2 linked regions of the Tamandua tetradactyla genome follow. The protein of the gene in region 1 interacts with the protein of each later gene in a pairwise test. Links are inferred from orthologs where the notes say so. Each region holds a gene or a part of one and is shown on either strand. Other genes may lie near its edges. The genes, in order: TSKS and TSSK2.

Region 1 (9,832 bases):
AATCCTAGAATGAGCGGAGACTCAGCATCAAGGGATTGAGAAAACCTTCTTGACCAAAAGGGGGAAGAGTGAAATGAGACAAAGTGTCAATGGCTGAGAGATTCCAAACAGAGTCGAGAGGTTATCCTGGAGGTTATTCTTATGCATTAAGTAGATATCACCTTGTTATTCAAGATGTAATGGAGAGGCTGGAGGGAAGTGTCTGAAAATGCAGAGCTGTGTTCCAGCAGCCATGTTTCTTGAGGATGATTGTATAATGATAAAGCTTTCACAATGTGACTGTGTGATTGTGAAAACCATCTGTGTGATGCTCCTTTTATCTACCTTGTCAACAGATGAGTAGAATATATGGAATAAAAATAAATAATAGGGGCAAAAAATGTTAAAATAAATTTAGTTTGAAATGCTAGTGATCAATGAAAGGGAGGGGTAAGGGGTATGGTATGTATAATTTTTTTTCTGTTTTCATTTTATTTTTTTCTGTTGACTTTTATTGCTTTTTCTGAATTGATGCAAATGTTCTAAGAAATGATCATGATGATGAATATGCAACTATGTGATAATATTATGAATTACTGATTATATACTGATTATATACGTAGAATGGAATGATTATATATTAAGAATGTTTGTGTTTCTTTGTTGTCATACTTTTATAAATTTAAAATTAAAAAAAAAAAAAAAGGTCTGTGGCTTCCTGCCTGAGCTGTTTGGTCTGGGAGACAATAACAGCCGTGTCATAAGCAGCATGTTTTTGAGAGAAACTGAGGCCTCCAGCCAACAGCCAGGTACAACCTTCAGGCCTTGAGATGCCTGTAGCCCCAGGTGAAATGTTGACAGTAACACAGAACTGCTATTCCGTCCTAGGTTTGCTGTTTGAAGCTGCTAAATTTGGGGGTCATTTGTTTCACAGCATTAGATAACCAATACACAAACTGATCTTTCTAAACTGAAGACACAGAAGGTCTTGGGTTTCCTGTAGGCAACCTGTTCTGGGAACTTGGGGAAGCAGGTCCTATGGTCAACCCCCAGTCTTCCCACTTGCTAACTGTGTGACCTAGGAGACGGGATGTCACCTCTCTCTGCCTCTGTTTCCCTATCTATAAAACGGAGATAGGAGTGACAGCTACCTTTACCGGGCTGCAGTGGGAAGGAACATGGACTAACCCAGAAAAGGACCATGGTCAAAACTCCGAAAAAGGGAAGGGGTGGCTGGGGTCCCTGGAGGTGTTAGCTCCCATGAGGACAGATCCAGGGAGCAGTTAAGCCAGAGCCTGTCAGCCTTGGCTGAGCAGTGGGTGTTATAACTCCTGGGGGCAAATCTCTCTTTGGCCACCCAAGTGAGACTCTAGGCAATCCAATTTCCGCTCCAAACCAGTCTGTTTCTTCTCCCATAAAATGGAAATAATACCTTGTTCAGACGGCAGGGTTACCGAGATGATGTAATCAACATGTAAATACGGCGATTAGCATTAAAAATCATGATAATAGGACAGGATCTACCTTGAAGGTGCCTTAGAAACACCTGGGAAATCTGCAGATGGAGGGCAAGGCCCAGCAAGGGTTACATGACCTGCCCTGTCAATCTTAGCCACTGACTCACTGCGTGACTTTCCAAAAGGCAACGTCACCTTCTCTGGGCCTCAGGTGGCTCGTTTGGGCTCGTAAAGATAGGATGTCCCAACTTAAGACAGGGGCCACGCCTTGTCGTCTTCACTGTTTCCCCACCTCCGTCTCTCCCTCCTCTGGAAATGACCCCCTCTCAAACAGGGTCTTCATTGCCCACAGCTCTCCGTCCCCCTCTCTCTGGGTCTCCGTCCCCCTCCCTCTGGGTTTCTGCCCCTTCTCTCTGCCTCCCTTGCGAGTGTCTTCCTTGACACAGCCTGGGTCCTGTGCCCCTTCCCGCTGTCACATACACCCTTGGCCTTGGCTGTTATTATTTTTTCCATCTCACCCAGAAGGCCCGGGAAGCCCGTGGAGGTCTTCCCCCCACCCCCCCACCCCCAGCTACCCCAGGATGCGCTCGCCACTGAGTCAGCTTTTCATCCCCTGCCCGGGGCCCTTTCCCAGGCCTGGGATCTGCTGGAGGTCTTGGCTCAGAAGTAACTCTCACGGGACACAGATGCCGCAGGGAGAGGGTGGGAAGGGCTGCCGGGCAAGTCCTCAGGCCGTCCAGTCCTGCGCCCCGTTCCCCTCTCCCCATCCTGGCTCAGTTCCTGAACGCCCACCCGGACCCTCACCCAGCCTCGCGCGAGCCTCCTGGCCTCCAGCCTCCCCCTTCCAGACGCCCTTCCGTGGGCCTAGCGGGGTCTTTCAAGAGAAAGCGAGAACATTTGTTTAATGTCACACCCACTCAGCTTCTAGCGCCGGGCCCTCTTCTTACAAGCGCCATCCTGCAGGCATCACTACCTCCTGTCGTGGCTGGGTTTCCATCTTTCAACTGGGCACCCTCACAGAACTTCAAAGGGAAGAGAACGGGACCTCCACCCTAAGGGACGTGGCCCATGAGCTCACACTGGCCCCCCATCGCCCTCGGGAAAATGCCCGTGGTTCTGAGCCTCCGCCCTCCCCATCCCCAACGCTGCACTCCAGCCCCCTCCCCCGACCCCACCCCTGGCCCTGCCTCCTGCTCTTTTCAACCCTGCCCATTCTCGCACATGTCCCTCCGTGTAGCTGGAACACACTTTCTCATCTTCTGCCTGGGGAGCGCCTTCTTTATCCCCAAGATTCAGTTTATGTGCTGCCTTTTCTGGAAAGTTCTTTCTAGACCATTCCTGGATGGACCAAAGCCTCCTTCTTCAGAGCTCCCACCTCTGCTGCTCCCCCAGCCTGACCCCTAGGCCGCTATCTACCCCTTACAAGCTGCATGACCTTCCATAAAGCTATTTAACCTCTCCGGGGCTCGATATGTTCATCTGCAAAATGGTACAAACAACAACCATGAACATAAAAAATAACAGCTACCGCTCACTCAGTGCCTGCCAGCGCTGGGCGTGACGCTCAGTGTTCTACCTCGGTGAACTACCCTTCAATTCATGACAAACTTATGAGGCGAGACCTCTTCTAATCAGAATTCTGTAGACGTACACTCAGCAGTAGACATTCAAGAAATATTTGTTTGAAGAACAGATGCATGACTCTCTGTTTTACAGATGAGGAAATCGAGGATCTCAGAACACAGAAAGTGCCTGGCAAATGCACCTCATTATCATCATCCTGATTGCAGTTATTTTAAGTTTGATTCTTGGTGTCCATGTCTGCCAGAGCCCAGGGGAAGCCTTGGGAGGTAATTCAGTGACCAAGCAGAGGTGCCCCATGCTCCAGCCAGGAACTACCCTAGCTTTTGCTCACCTCCCAGTTTTGCCCCAAACTCTAGGGTGATCCCCTCAGAGAACTCCTTTTCATCCATCAAGGCCCAGTTCCAACACCACCTCCTCTAGGAAGTCTTCCCGGCTTTCCCCAGCCTGGTTTGAGGGGTCCTTGTCTGGGACCTCAGCACCACCTTCATCATGGCCTCTGTCACCCAGGCTGTGTCCATCTCCCCCACTGGACTGAGAGCTCCCCAAGGGCAGTGAACTCAACTGATTCTTGTCTGTGTCCCCAGCCCCGTGCAAGACATGTAGCAGTGACTGAAAGAACCAAAACAAACCCCAAGACAGCAGGGATCATTTGCCAAGGACAAAACCAATTCATGGCCGGCTGTCAAAGGAGGCAGAGGCAGATCACCTGGGCCTTAAAGAGCAACCAAAACCTTCTCATGTCAAATCAAGAGCCCCTTCCCCACCCTCAGCGTTTGCCTACCACCGGGTCAAGCCCCCTTGTCTTCCCCAGCCGGGGCCTCTCACCAGGATTTCCGTGATGTCTGGGTCATCTGGAGCCCAGGGTGGCGGCGGGGAGGCGGGAGGTCCGGGCAGTGCAGGGGGGCCACCACTCTCTTCCGCGGTCGACTCTGTCCCTGAGGAGTCAGCGGGCTCCACGGCGGCCAGGTTGAGCAGGGACACGTTGGTGCAGGCGGAGGACCGCTTGAGGTTCAGGCACCAGTGCATCGGCTCGTGCGACATCCGGGGCTCCACCCTGGAGAGGAGAGACAGGCCGAGGGGTCGGGACACAGCCCCCATGGGGTGCAGCCCCTCCTGCCTCCACACCACCTCCTCCCCTGACTCCAGCCTCACTGCCTGCTTTCTTCTCCCTTCCATTTCCTCGCTGACTACTTTCTTCTTCCTTCTCATCCCGCCGCCTACTTTCTCCTTTCCCCTTCCCTGCTGCCTTGTTTCTTCTTTCTTATCATCCCCGCCTTTCTTTTTCTTCTCCCTTTTCATCCCAGCTGTCTACTTTCTTCTCCTTTCCCCACTGACTATGCTCCATCACCACTTTCCTCTCCCTTCCCCAGTTCCTCTCTCCCTTTTCCTTCCCCAGTGAGTGTTCCCTCCCTGCATCCACCACTGCCCTCCCCTCTACTGTGTCTGCCTCTGCCCCTTGCACTCTGCCTTCTTCCTTCCCCTCCCCCCTCGCCCCTGCCCTCTGGCTGTGCCTCCTCTGCCCTCCCCCTCCCCTTCCTCCAGCACCCACGGTGGGACTTGGGCTCTGATGGAGGCAGCGCTGGGCGCTAGGACCGTCCCCGACAGGGTGCGACAAACCCACCCGTGGAACGACACGGCCTTCTTTTTCTTCGTGATCCCCTTGGCCGGGCTGAGCACCCCCCCGGGGGCCTCTGGGAGCAGCTGGGAGCGGCTCTCGACCCCCGCGGGGGGATCCCCGGCCTCGTGAATTTCTTTGGACTGCCAGATTGTTTTCACCACCACGCTCGCCATGGCATGGGGGGGTCCTGCTCCCAGGGGCTCTTTCCTCTGAGACTCGCCACCTACTCTGACCGCTGAACCTCAGAGCCCCTGCCCCCTCAGCCCGCCTCACAAAGGGCCCAACCAACTGGGCCCCCGGGTGGGGGTAGGGGAGGTGACCCAGGAAGGGAGAGAGGCCCTGGCTCATGGAACCTTCCAGAAACTCTCATGGACTACCCCCACCTCTGAGGCTTCCAATTCTACCCCAGCGTGCCCCCGGCCTCTCAGAGCCACACCGGACCTCCTCAAATTTTAGTTCAAGACTTACAACAAGTGGGCCCTGGGGTTCCTGGGGTGAGGGGGGGGTGTCCTCTGACCTCTGACTCCCCTCTTCCTGAGAACAAACGTGGGGTCATTACAGCCCCCCACTCTCATACTTGATGGTTGGCCCAATGCCGGGGATCTGGTGTTTTTGGGGGGCCTGGGAGGTGGTGGCCAATGAGCACGGATGTAAGCCCCTGACCATTTCCTACGGGGGAGCAACAAGACAGATGCACAGACAAAAAAACACTGGGCGTGGACGCATGATGGAAAGGGAATGGAAATGGGGTGACGGCAGGCACATACCTCTGTCAAAACATGTCGCTTTGTGCCCTGCACGTCTGTGCCTCTTATTGCATGTGCATTTTACCTGCTGAAAAAGAATCTAAACGTGATTGTATAACGATAAAGCTTTCGCAATGCGACTGTGTGATTGTGAAAACCTTGTGTCTGATGCTCCGTTTACCTACCTTATGGACAGATGAGTAAAACATATGGATTAAAAATAATTAAATAATAGGTGAACAAATGTTAAAATACGTTTAGTAGATTAAAATGCTAGTGGTCGATGAGAGGGAAGGGTAAGGGGCATGGTATGTATGAATTTTTTTGTTTTCTTTTTATTTCTTTTTCTGAATTGATGCAAATGTTCTAAGAAATGATCATGATAATGAATATGCAACTATGTGATGATACTGTGAGTTACTGATTATATAACAAGAATGGAATGATCATATGGTAAGAATGTTTGTGTTTGTATGCGGTTATGTTTCATAAATAAACTTTAAAAATGCAAAAAAAAAAACCACCCCCAAAAACAAAAAAGAATCTAAGTGAATATCAAGTTCCAGCCAAAAGCAGGCTGAAGCATCTGGGGTCAGGTACAGATGGACAGAGGGAAGGGTACACATACAAACAGGTGATAAAGCAAGTAAAGAAATATGTTAACGGTGGAATCAACGTGGGGGTAGAGGGTGTTGGCTCAATGGCGATTTTGACTTTTCTGAGTATTTAGAAATGTTCATCACGCAGTGATGGAGCAGAAACTGGCAATTGGGATGAAGTAATAGTGCGATCAAACGATCAAAAAACATGATGCTAAGCGAAATAAGCCAAATGCATGATTCTGCTTCCATGAACTCACCAGAATCAGCAAATGCATAGAGAGGGGAAGTAGGATGAGGTTATGGGGGTGGTGGTGCTGGAGGGAGGGAAGGGGAAGTGATTACTTAACGGGTACAGAGTTTCTGTTCAGGGTGATGAAAAATTCTTGGTAAAGGATGATGGTGATGGTGGCACAATACTGCGAACGTAATTAATATTGCTGAATCGTATGCATGAAAGTGGTTAAAATGGGAAATTTGGGGTTGTATGTATGTCACCACAATAAAAATTTTTAAAAATCCAAGCTGCAGAAGGACCGGGCAGAGAGGGCTTTAAGAAAGCAATCCAAGATCCAGGCAACAGAGGGTGGTGGCCTGGAAGGGGCTGAGGCAGGCCATGGGGTGGCTGCAGGCATCATGATGTGTCCTGATTTGGTTTGGGTGGAGGGGTGGGGAAGGATTCCAGAACAAATGTCTGGAGTTATGGCAGGTGCCCAAACGCGAAGACCGGGGGTAAGTTTGGTTCTTCTGGAGGAAATCAGAATCCGATGTGCATCATGAGTGGCCTTGCTCGGGTGGAAGTCTTAGAACTTCTACTAGTGGCTCAACCCATGTGCTCCTTGGCGTGCCCAAGGTTCCCTCTTACCGTCCCATCTTAAAGCCTATCATGGCTTGACCACACCTCCCTAGATCTCCTCCAAAGGTGGACTTGTTCATGACCTGGTCTTCCAGGTGACTTACCAGCAGATCAGCCCCAGCTTTCCAGAATGGTCTGGCCCCAGCCTGCCTGACCCTACTGAGAGCCTCTGACTGCTGAGCACAGGCCACGTGGCTTGTCCAAGCTGAGCCGGGCTGTATGTTTACTGGATTCCAAAGATTTACAAAAATAAGAACATAAAACAGGCTAAAATGATAACAGTTGGATACTGGATTAACTAAAATATACTATGGAAGTTAGGATCACCTGTTTCTGTTTATTTATTTATTTTAACGTGGCTAGAAATTGAAAACTAGATTGGAAATTACACCCAGGGTTCTCACTGTAAATCTCTTTTTTTTTTCACATGGTCAGGTACCAGGAATCAAACCCCGGGTCCTCGGGCATGGCAGGTAAGCACTCTCACCTGCTGAGCCACCGTGGCCCGCCCCTCACTGTAATTCTATGTGGACAGTGCTATTCTAACTCAAAGGGGGTCAGCCATGTCCATCCCTTCTCAGGCTCAAGACGCCCAGGGCCCAGGAAGGCAGCCCCTGGCTCCTCAACCTGCCCCAGTCTCAGGTCCTCATCAGACCTTAGATCGCTTCTACTTTAAGCCCAGTCTTGAAAATTAAGTTTCAGCCAATTAATGAGCTCCCTGAGGGAGGAGAGGCCAGGCTGAGTCCCCCATATACCCAGGAGGGGGCTAGGACATCCTTCACTCCACACCAAGAACCCAGAGTTAAATCTGTTTGTCCTTAGGTGGGCTCTGTGGGGGACATGGCGGTGGTGGCGGTGTTTTTGTGTGTGTGTGTGCGTAACGACCCCTCACGTCTCTTCCTCATAACCCCCAAACAGGACTAGTTTGAATTCCACTACTACTACTATATACTTTTAAAGGCGATTTCTTCAGGGACAAAGTGGTCCTCTCCAAGTCACCCACGAACAAGTCCTTGGAACGCTTAATGTTTTCCTCCATTAAAAAAAGGACTTGTTCAACTCCTGGTCCTAATAATACAATTTTTAAAATAGGATTGCCCCTACGTTCCCTAGGAGAAGCCAGTCTCCCCTTCGCGGTGTTAGGAATGGACTCGCCGGCCCAGACAGCCCCCCCTAGGATGCAGAATGTATTTTCCTAAACCCTATTCTTGGAAATCCAAATGGACGGATCCACTGAACCTGAGAGGTGGGCTCTTACCCATTCCCCCAGGATTCGGAGTGGACATTCCCAGGATCAGGACACTCCCCTAAGGCTCATTCCCGGGATACTTGGCTTCTGAGATTAGAAAAGGGTGGTGGGGTGGGGTTTTGTTCCTCGAGGTGACAGAAATGGACTCTCCCACTTCCCTTTGCCCCAAATTTCTCAATAGCCAAGGGCGCTGCAGTTCTGGAAGCTTTGTTTTCCCCAAAGCCAATCAACCAAACAGGGTCTCCGGAGCGCCGAGGGGCCGGGCCAAAGCCGATTGACCCATTCCTTACTTCAAAAAGCATTTTTTTTTCCTTTTTAGCTTTGCAGTACAAGGTTCCATTCTTGCCCAGGCGGAGCTGCGCATCTGGTGAAGATAATCACAATTTTTATTTGATATCTGCTCTAATGGAGGTTACCTGAGGCGTTGTTGTTGAAGAAAAACAAAACAAAACAAAACAAAAAACAATGAAAAGTGGCTATAGGCCAAAATATAGTTTAAATCTCAGTTTTGCCGCTGCCGAGCTGTGTGACCTTTGACAAGTCACTCAACGTCTCTGGACTTCAGGTTTAACTTCTGTTTCATGGGACTAGACGTGGATACAGTTCTTCTCCAGTGAGATCCCAGGTTTTCTGACAAGCCAAGTCCTGACATCTTAGAATCTAGAGAAAGGTGGCGGGAAGGAAGAGAGAATGCTCCTACAAATGAATTTAAGGAATTGGGGGGGGGAAAAAGGGAAACTAGGAGACGCTTGCGCAGTAAACACCTCCTAGACTCTCGCCCCGCCCAACCCCTTCTCTGCAGCAGGGAATTGCAGACGTCGCTCTACCTATCCCAGACCAGCTGAGTGACTCTTCCCCGTCTCCTTCCTTCTCCACCAATCATCGCCCTCCACCCGCCCCCACACCCGCCCACTCGAGGGCGGAAATAGGCCAGACCCCGCAAATCCGCGATGCCTGTGGGGGTGATCTGCCCCTCCACTGGCCTCTGTGCACTCAAGTCCCGCCTCCTCAGGCCCGCTTCCCCGCCTTCCTTCACGTCTTTTCATCCCCTCTCGGAGAGAGGCCAGGTCCAATCAGTATCCGACCCGGCAGCGCGGAGGGGGCGGTCCCACGGTACGTAACCGAACCCAGCCCGTCTCTTGGGCACCGCTCCCTCCCCCGTGCCCGAACGGAAATAGCGGGGTACTGGACCAATCGCAGCGCTGTACTTTTACCTAAGGGCCAATTAGAAAGCAGTAGGGGATGAGCCCTAGCCTTAGCGGCAGTAGCCACAGCCAACCCGCGGCTGACAGTTCCGGGCGGTGGAGTCGAGGGGAGGGGCCCGGGGGCGGAGCCGCGGCCTGTCCGCCCGCCCGCGCGCCCTCCCCTTAGTCCCGGCCCGGCTCCTCGGCGCTGCCTGAGATTCTCTACGCCTGGTCGCCGCCCGCCAGTCCCCGCTGCGCTGTGCCCTGCCCGGCCAGGCCTGGAGCCGACACCCCCGCCATCATGCCGGCCGTGTCCAAGGGCGATGGGATGCGGGGGCTCGCGGTGTTCATCTCCGACATCCGAAACTGTGAGCCCGCGGCCGGAGGACACTGGGGCGGGGGAGCGTGGATTTGGGGGCTTCGGAGGCCGTGGAAGGGCCCCGGGGGTGGAAGGCCAGCGAGGTCACAGCCAGAGAGGCGCCGGGGGAAGTTTAGGGTGGCGGGGATGGAGGGGCTGCGGGTGTCATCGAGTGCCTCTTGAGGTGACGACACGGGGAGGA
Region 2 (9,171 bases), on another chromosome or scaffold:
GCCTCTAGGAGGCAGGGACAGCGGGCCCGGGCAGCCCACAGGACGCTTTTTCCACGGTGTAAATGCTGCCGCCAGCCCCATGTCCCGCAGGGATGTAGAGGGCAGCCCCAGAGGCACTGGGCGCTCCCAGCACCATGGATGACGCTGCCGTCCTCAAGCGACGAGGCTACATCATGGGGATAAATTTGGGAGAGGGCTCGTACGCCAAAGTCAAGTCGGCCTACTCGGAGCGCCTCAAGTTCAACGTGGCGGTCAAGATCATCGACCGCAAGAAAGCCCCCACGGACTTCTTGGAGAAATTCCTCCCCCGGGAAATCGAGATTCTGGCCATGCTCAACCACCGCTCCATCGTCAAGACCTACGAGATCTTCGAGACTTCCGACGGCAAGGTCTACATCGTCATGGAGCTGGGGGTCCAGGGCGACCTCCTGGAGTTCATCAAGTCCCGGGGGGCCCTGCACGAGGACGAGGCCCGCAAGAAATTCCACCAGCTCTCCTCGGCCATCAAGTACTGCCACGACCTGGACGTCGTCCACCGGGACCTCAAGTGTGAGAACCTTCTCCTCGACAAGGACTTCAACATCAAGCTGTCCGACTTCGGCTTCTCCAAGCGCTGCCTGCGGGACGACAGCGGCCGGCTGACCTTGAGCAAGACCTTCTGTGGGTCGGCGGCCTATGCGGCCCCCGAGGTGCTGCAGGGCATCCCCTACCAGCCCAAGGTCTACGACATCTGGAGCCTGGGAGTGATCCTCTACATCATGGTGTGCGGCTCCATGCCCTATGATGATTCCAACATCAAAAAGATGCTGCGCATCCAGAAGGAGCACCGCGTCAACTTCCCACGCTCCAAGCACCTGACGGGCGAGTGCAAGGACCTCATCTACCGCATGCTCCAGCCGGACGTCAATCGGCGGCTGCACATCGACGAGATCCTTGGCCACTGCTGGGTGCAGCCCAAGGCTCGGGGCCTGTCCTCGGTGGCCATCAACAAGGAAGGGGAGAGCTCCCGGGCCCCCGAGTCCGTGTGGGCCCCAGATCCCGTCTCTGACAAGAAGTCGGTCACCAAGCAGGAGCCCCGGGAAGAGGCCCGGCTGGAGGCAGGTCCTGAGACTGAGTCGGTGCAGGTGGCGAGGCAGTCGGAGACCATCGGTTTCACCGGGGAGATATCTGGGGAGACCAAGGAAGGGCCCCCCCAGCCGCTCACCGAGACACACACCCCGTGAGCCTCTGTTGGCCCAGGGGGCCAGCGGGGAACAAGATGGAGCCCATGACTTCAGGCCTGAGCGTGGAAGAAGCCAAGAGAGGAGGCCGAGAAGGGGCGCAGGCCCCTTGGAGCCACTATTTTTGTCAGTTCCTTCTCCCTCCCTTTGAACTTGGTGACCCACATGGCTAAAGAAGCAATAAATCACAGACTATATTAGTGTACACCCCAAGGTGAATGTCTTTCTCCAGCTCCCGCCCACCCTCCGTTGGAGCTATGCTGTACCTCTCCCTCAGGAAGATACATCCTAGTATGTCCTGGGTGCCTGGTTCGTGACCACAGGGCCTGGCTGCAGAAGCTGGGAGGGCGGGTTGTGGGGCACAGGGGCGAGTGGGGTATGCGGCTGGAGGGGCAGGGACCAGAGCTGGGAGTGAGGAAGATGCTGCTTTGAAAGGGAGGGTTGTGAACACGGTGCTGGGGTGGAAAGGAGAGGATGAAACCGAGGGTCCAGCTGGCTACCTGCAGAGAAAGGGCGGTTGAGGCCAGGGGCCTCTCAAGCTGGGGAGCTGGCTCTGTCTGCAGTCAGGGGTCTTGCCATCCCGTGGCAAGGAAGACAGAGTGCCTGCCAGCAGGGAGAGGCATCTCTCCCAAACCAGCTATGCCCCTGCCCACTTCTCAATCTTGGGTAGACCTCCCAACCCTCAGTCCTCTGGGAGAAGAGACCCTCCACTCCCCGCCACAGCCAGGTCACTCCCCTGCCTGGATCTTTCTTCTCCCCACAGCTGCCTTGCAGTTTATCTTGGGGCCCCCAGCTCTGCCTCCCCACCCCCCCATCCCTGCAGACACCTTCCACTATGGCTAGAGCCCCCTCTGCATCCCTTCTGGCCCCCACTGCTTCTCCCAGGTCTAGCCTCCTTTCTCCCTCCTTCTCCTTCATGTGTCCCCTCCCCTGTCATTTCGGTGGCCTGCATGGTCCTTGGGCCCGGGAATGACCCTCATCCTGTTCAGAGGCTGGGAAAGCAGCTCAGAGAGGGTCAGTGGCCTGCCTGATATCACACAACCTGGAGCAGAGGACCAGCCACTCTCTGCTGGAGGCCGCCCTGTGCCAGAGACTCCAGACCCCTGCCTGGCCCCCCAAAGGTGTCAGGATGGTGACCTCCCGTGGCCAGTCCACGCCTCTTCTGCCCAAGTGCCCAGCTGTCCCTATGCAGTCCTCTCTCACACTGTCTGGCTGCCCCCTCCTCCGTCTGTCCACCCTCCGTCTGGTTACTTCCTGTGTCTCGGCCTTCCTGGTGTCCCTAGCCTGTGCCCCAGGTCTGTCCTGCACCCTGGCACAGCCTACGACATCCACTCACCCTGGCTGCTGTGGCACCGCACCCTGCTGGGCTCCTCGCTGGCCTCAGGGTGCATGAAGGCATGGGCCCTGCTTCTCCCCAGCTCCTCGGACAGACTCTCAGATACTTTCAGGAGGAATGGATGGAGGCCTGCTTTGCAGAGGAAATTGAAGCTCAGAGAGAGACCCCCTAACCCCATCCCAGACAGCTGCACTTGGGCAATGCTGAGGCCCACTTCCTCCAGCATGTCCCTGCCCCCCCCCCGCCCCAAACCAGAGATGCTACATCAGTACCATTCAGAGGGTAAAAGGAGGCAGAACCCACCTAAAAGGAAGCAGAGCGATGCCCCAGACAGAGTTTGGAGATGCAGGGAAAAGACAGGGGAGGGGGCTCATGCTTCTGGGTGCTGGCCTGGCAAATCCTCACAGCCAGCCCCTTCTGGGACCTAAAGGAGTGGAGTTCTGATTATTTCAGCCAGAAACAGGCTCCAGTATTTATGTGACACCTGAGATTCAAAATCAGAGCACTGAACTATTTATTAAAAGTCTGCACTATGCCATACAGGAACTGTTTAAGAACTTGAGAAAGTGATCAGACATCAAGTAGAGCTATGAATGAAGCTGATCTGGATAGGACTAAGGTATATCAGAAGACTGAGTAAAGGATGAATCTGACCATTTTTGAAACTTCAACTTCAGTGTCAGCCTAAAGGGAGAGATGTTTATTGGGTGCAAAATTTATATTTTGGGTAGTGCATCTCCTAATGTAACTCGTGTGATCAGTTGAGTTGAACACCGTTAAGTACAGGGAATCTTGAATAGGGTCTGAGATTTTGTTGGTTTGTCCAAGTTAGTGTGATGCCCCAATGCATCCCAGAGTGATTTGGACAGTGAATACAGAAGTATTTGCAGGGTCCCCTTAGGAGAATGGGGAGAAAAGAGGGAAAGACTCAACTTCCCCATTTGGATAATTTCTGATACTCTCACAAGTAGTGTGGACAACCAAATCAATAAGCCAAGTCCCCAGTCTTGGGGTTCACCCCTATGAAACATATTCCTACTATGGATAGGCTAAGCCTACTTAAAATTAGGCCTAAGAGTCAACCCCAGAGAACCTCTTTTGTTGCTCACATGTGGCTCTAAGCCAATAAGGCAAGTGAACCACTGCCCTCCCCAGCACGTGGGACATGACTCCCAGGGGTATGAATCGCCCTGGCAACGTGGGACAGAACTTCCAGGAAGAGCTGGGATTCGGCCTCAAGGGATTGAGAAAACCTGCTTGACCAAAAGGGGGGGAGAGAGAAATGAGACAAACTAAAATGTCAGTGGCTGAGAGATTTCAGAGTCAAGAGGTTATCCTGGAGGTTATTTGTACACATTACATAGATATCCGTTTTCAGTTTATGGTGTATTGGAGTGGCTAGAGGGAAGTACCTGAAACTGTAGACTGTTCCAGTAGCCTTGTTTTTTGAAGATGATTATATAATGATATAGCTTTTACAATATGACTGTGTGATTGTGAAAACTTTGTGTCTGATGCTCCCTTTATATAGGGTATGGACAGATGAGTAAAAAAATATGGGTAAGAAAATAAATAAATAATGGGGGAACAAAGATTAGTGGTCAATGAGGGGGGATAAAGGGTACGGTATGTATGAGTTTTTTCTGTTGTATTATTTTTTCTGAAGTGATGCAAATGTTTTAAAAAATGATCATGACGATGAATACACAACTATGTGAAGACACTGCGAGCCATCAATTGCACATCGTGCATGGAATGTTTGCATGTGAAGGATGTTCATGTTTGTATGCTGATTTATCAATAAAAATATTTTAAAAGAAAGAGGCCCCAGGAAAAAGGAGCATACCACGTTAAAACAAGTCACAAAATGACGGGGCTCCAAAGAGCTCTCGGAGTGGGCCTGGGGCAGAGAAGGACCTCTCGGGGAGGTGCTCAGCCCTTGCTCACCCAGAACGCTCCCACTTGGGGTACAAGGGGGGGCTCTCCTCCTCTGAGTTAGGCTGCTCTGCCAAGCCAGACACCAGGAGCTCCTTGCAGGGCCCAGGTGTCTCCACACAGCCATGCCTCTGGCCACGACTTTCTGAGTATCTGGCCTGCCCTTCTGGTCAGCCTGGCGGAAACTCCTGTGCACCTCTGCTTTGCCATCACTTCCTCTGAAACCTTCCTTGGCCACCTACCAGACCTTCTTCCTCTCCCCTGGACACCTGTCCTGGCAATGCAGCCAAGAGAGGCCAGCCAGGGTTCTCTGGAGCCAGGGAGAGAGGCTCGGTGGACATGCTGAGGAGGTACTTTGTGCCCACATAGACTACACTTTGCAAAGCAGAAATCCACACACATGCCCCCAAAAGGATTTTCCTATTGCTTCCAGGTGCTAAAAGCCCCCTGAGGGACAGAAAGCATGTGCCAACCCTGGGAACCTTGGGGATTGGGGAAGGGGTGCAAGTAAGAGCCACCCAGCTCTGACTTAGGTCCAGTGACACTTCAGGACCCCTCTTCGCCCAGGTGCCAGCTGTCCAGGGTGCTGTGCCACCCACCCGCCCACCCAAGTACCCACCCCCCTCTTCTCTGTCTCCTCTGCGACCTGACCCCCAGAGCCCATCCTGTGTCGACCTTGCTGCCAGGGACCACCGTTTCAAAGGTAACTTGGACCTGTGCCCTGAAATAACTGCCCACCGCCCAGAGCCCACCTTACCTCCTCTGTGAGCTCACCTGCTGCTCAGAATCACTCAGAATTCTCAGAGTGAGCCTCTCTCACCTCCCAGCTCTTCCCGGCCGCAGGACGCCTGGACACCTGCTTCCCCGGACTGGGGCCCTGCCCACCCCTGTGAATATGGACGGGCTGAGCTGGCACCCGCAGGCTCACCCGGGCAGTCGCGACCACTTGGCCGGCCAGCACCTGCTCCCACCCAGGAAGCTGCTTCTGGCCTGGAGTACCAGAACCACCAACACTGGGGGGGGGGGGGGGGGGGGGTTCTCTATGGATCTCAAAGGCGCTGTGGGCGATGTGCCCGAGAGGGACGAGGACCCACACAAGGGTCCAATTCCACGGTTGGGAGAGCGAACGTGCCACGGGGCTGCACTCGGGCTGGGCTAGGGCCACCTCCCCTTGGGGCCTGGCAGGCAGGGTGGCCACGGCCAAGGGGGTGGATGATGAGGGATGCCAAGGTCCCGGGGCTGCCCTCCTTCCAGAAGGCGGGTGGTGGGCGCTCCTGCCTGGGCTGGCCTGGCTTCCAAGGTTCCAGGGGCCCCATCCGGCAGCACCCCAAGCACCCGCTGCCAGCAGCCTGGCTTTGTGACTTCACGTGCTGAAGTCACCCGGAGACAATGCCGAGCGTTCCACTCGCTCCAACCCCGGGCCCGGCCCACCCAGAGGAGTCCCTGCCAGCGCCGGGGAGGATGATGCCCGCTGGCCCATGTGGGGAGGGGATGTAGAGGGCGGCGGGCGCCGGCCGCTCTTGGCACCATGGACGATGCCGCGGTGCTGAGGAAAAAGGGTTACATCGTGGGCATCAACCTGGGCAAGGGCTCCTATGCCAAGGTCAAGTCGGCCTACTCAGAGCGCCTTAAGTTCAACGTGGCGGTCAAGATCATCGACCGCAAGAAAGCCCCCGCGGACTTCGTGGAGAGGTTTCTCCCCCGGGAGATGGACATTCTGGCCACCGTCAGCCACCGCTCCATCATCAAGACCTACGAGATCTTCGAGACTTCCGACGGCAAGGTCTACATCGTCATGGAGCTGGGGGTCCAGGGCGACCTCCTGGAGTTCATCAAGTCCCGGGGGGCCCTGCACGAGGACGAGGCCCGCAAGATGTTCCGCCAGCTCTCCTCGGCCGTCAAGTACTGCCACGACCTGGATGTCGTCCACCGGGACCTCAAGTGTGAGAACCTTCTCCTCGACAAGGACTTCAACATCAAGCTGTCCGACTTCGGCTTCTCCAAGCGCTGCCTGCGGGACGACAGCGGCCGGCTGACCTTGAGCAAGACCTTCTGTGGGTCGGCAGCCTATGCGGCCCCCGAGGTGCTGCAGGGCATCCCCTACCAGCCCAAGGTCTACGACATCTGGAGCCTGGGAGTGATCCTCTACATCATGGTGTGCGGCTCCATGCCCTACGATGATTCCGACATCAAGAAGATGCTGCGCATCCAGAAGGAGCACCGCGTCGACTTCCCACGCTCCAAGCACCTGACGGGCGAGTGCAAGGACCTCATCTACCGCATGCTCCAGCCGGACGTCAATCGGCGGCTGCACATCGACGAGATCCTCGGTCACTCGTGGCTGCAGCCCCCCAAGCCCAAGGCCTTGTCTTCCGGCTCCTTCAAGCGGGAGGGGGAGGGCAAGTACCGGGCCGAGTGCAAACTGGACACCCGGCCGGGCTCGCGAGCCGAGCACCGGCCGGACCACAAGCTGGGGGCCAAGACCCAGCACCGGCTGCTGGTGGCGCCCGAGAACGAGGACAAGGCGGAGGACAGGCTGGCCGAGACCTCCAGGGCCAAGGACCATCACCCCTCTGGGGCCGAGGTGGGGAAGGCGAGCACCTAGCCACCATGAGGGGCCCTCTGAGGCGGCGTGGGGCGGGGTTTGCGCTCACGATAAGTAGGGCAGGTAGGAGCAGAAGAAGGCACGGGTGCAAGGAACCAGTAAAATCCGTCAATTAAACCACTATTTTGATTACGTTCTATTAGCTTTCTTCCACTTAGTAGCAGAAAAAAAAAACCAAACTAAAACGTTCGTTATTGACCACCAAATAAACCGCAAAGTATATACAGCATCAACGGTGCCCCGTGAGGAGTCTTTTTCTCCTTGGCTCAGCCAACCTCCCTCCCTGCGGCTTGGAGGCTCCCTGGGTCTGCAGAGTAGGGCCCGCGGCACATGCTCAGCCAGAGGTCCATGCACTGAGAGTCCTGTGGAGTCTGCCTGCTGCACCCCATGTGGCCTCCCGGGACCTGCTCCCCACCCCAGTGCTCATGTGTGCCAACACCTCACTTGTACCCTGACTTCAACTTTCCCTGGGGCTGTCCGAGGTGGGTGACCCACAAGCCCTGAGCCCTCCTCTCCATCCCCAGCAGGCCCCAACTGAGATCTTGCCTGTACCCAATGCAGCCCGTGCATTTGCCGGCCAGCCTCAGATACCGCCCAGCCAAGTGCAGGCGGCCTGGAAAATGGCCCCCCTTCCATCTGACTCACACCCATCTGGACACCTGCCTCTTCACCTCCTAGGGTTCCACTGAGCTAAAGCCCAGCCTGCCCTGTTGGGGAGAAGCACCAGAAGCTGCACCCTCCCAGCAGCCAGTCAGCCCCCACCCCTATGCCCACCCCTCTGTGGCTTCCAGGGTGTATTGGAGGCTTGGCCACCCTGGGAGCTTGCAGGTTCAGTCTCACCACAGATGTCCGGTCCTCGGCCTGGCCTCCGGAGGGGATCAGTGGACGGAGAGGGCAAGGAGGACCAGAGACAACGGCCTAATGCAGGGCTGGCTGTGCTCCAGGAGGAGAGACTCCAGCCTGAGCAGGTGCCCGGGGCTCAATGTGTGAGGCTTGGAGACCCGGTTCTGGAGCCAGTCCACAGCCTTGGTCACAGCTCCACACAGGGGACAAGGCCTCTCCCCTATGCGGCGAAGGGGCCACCCAGGCAATCAGGGCCAGCAGGACCCAGGGCGGCCAGGCTTTCAGGCTTGGGCACCAACACCCTCTCGCTCATGGCCGTGCAGGGCAGGCGCAGAGACCTTCTAGGTCTGTTTGCGGCCCGGCCCCTCTCCTTTTTACCCTGAGCCCTGGTTCCTGTTCTCGGGGGGCTCGTGTAGGTGGGAATGGTGGGCGGGGCACTGGCGGAGGAGAGGAGAGCAGAGACAGAGACTATCTGCCCAGGGCAGGTCTCCTTGGTCCTTCGGGGGCTAGAAGCCAGGTGCCCGGGAGATGGTGACAGCAGAGCCCAGCTGCAGAAGCTGCAGACCTGCCTAATCCAAAGCATGACTTCCAAGCATCTCCATCCCTCCCTTGGAAGAGTAGGAAGTCCTGGGGGGACAAGGGGGTGGCAGATGTGCAAACTTAGCTCACACAGGTTGCTGGCCTGGAGGGGGGCGGGGGGGCCACAAAAATGTAACACGGGAGGTAGTGGGAAAGCCACGGCCCTGACACCATGGTGGCCACGATCAGCCCAGCCTACAGCCTCTCCCCTGGGAGGTCCCCACAGGCCTGAGATGGTGGCACAGATCCCAAGGCCCCAGGCCCAGTGTGGGCAGGACAAAGGCGACTACCAGATGGTGCTGTTGTTCTTTAATGACAGTCTGGACAGGCGGCGAATAGAAAACAGTTTGAAGTCTCTGGATGCTCGTTGAGCGCAGTCCACGTGGTGAGCGCACGTGTCCAGTCCGTGGCTGGGCACCCAGCTGCCCTGCAGGCCCCGTGCTGGCCCCTCAGCTTGACCCTAGAAGAAGTCGGAGGCTTTGCGGCGGGCGGGAAGCTGCAGCAGGTTGTCTGTGATGGAGGCCGGGTCCTGGCCGAGGGGGGTGCGAGTGGCTGAGCCAGGAGCAGGGGTGCTGGTGGGGGTCTGGGGCCCGCCAGCCGGGCTCTTGAGGTGGGCTGGGCGTGCTGGGGATGGCGTGTAGCTGGCTCGCAGG

What was found.
Region 2: the proteins of TSKS (region 1) and TSSK2 interact in binary tests that used the Homo sapiens proteins (3 or more experiments, as listed by UniProt). The link is inferred for Tamandua tetradactyla from reciprocal best matches to the Homo sapiens genes TSKS and TSSK2.

What each region holds. Positions count from the first base shown.
Region 1 is NC_135342.1:11,399,052-11,408,883, reverse strand, and holds the start of TSKS (testis-specific serine kinase substrate), read right to left. Parts: upstream 4,921-9,832; 5' UTR 4,812-4,920; coding exon 4,570-4,811; intron 4,075-4,569; coding exon 3,846-4,074; intron 1-3,845. Other genes in the region: AP2A1 (AP-2 complex subunit alpha-1), read left to right, coding at 9,574-9,640. UniProt on the Homo sapiens protein: May play a role in testicular physiology, most probably in the process of spermatogenesis or spermatid development.
Region 2 is NC_135331.1:27,575,587-27,584,757, forward strand, and holds TSSK2 (testis-specific serine/threonine-protein kinase 2), read left to right. Parts: upstream 1-5,869; 5' UTR 5,870-6,019; coding exon 6,020-7,096; 3' UTR 7,097-7,213; downstream 7,214-9,171. Other genes in the region: TSSK1B (testis-specific serine/threonine-protein kinase 1), read left to right, coding at 135-1,223; ESS2 (splicing factor ESS-2 homolog), read right to left, coding at 8,979-9,171.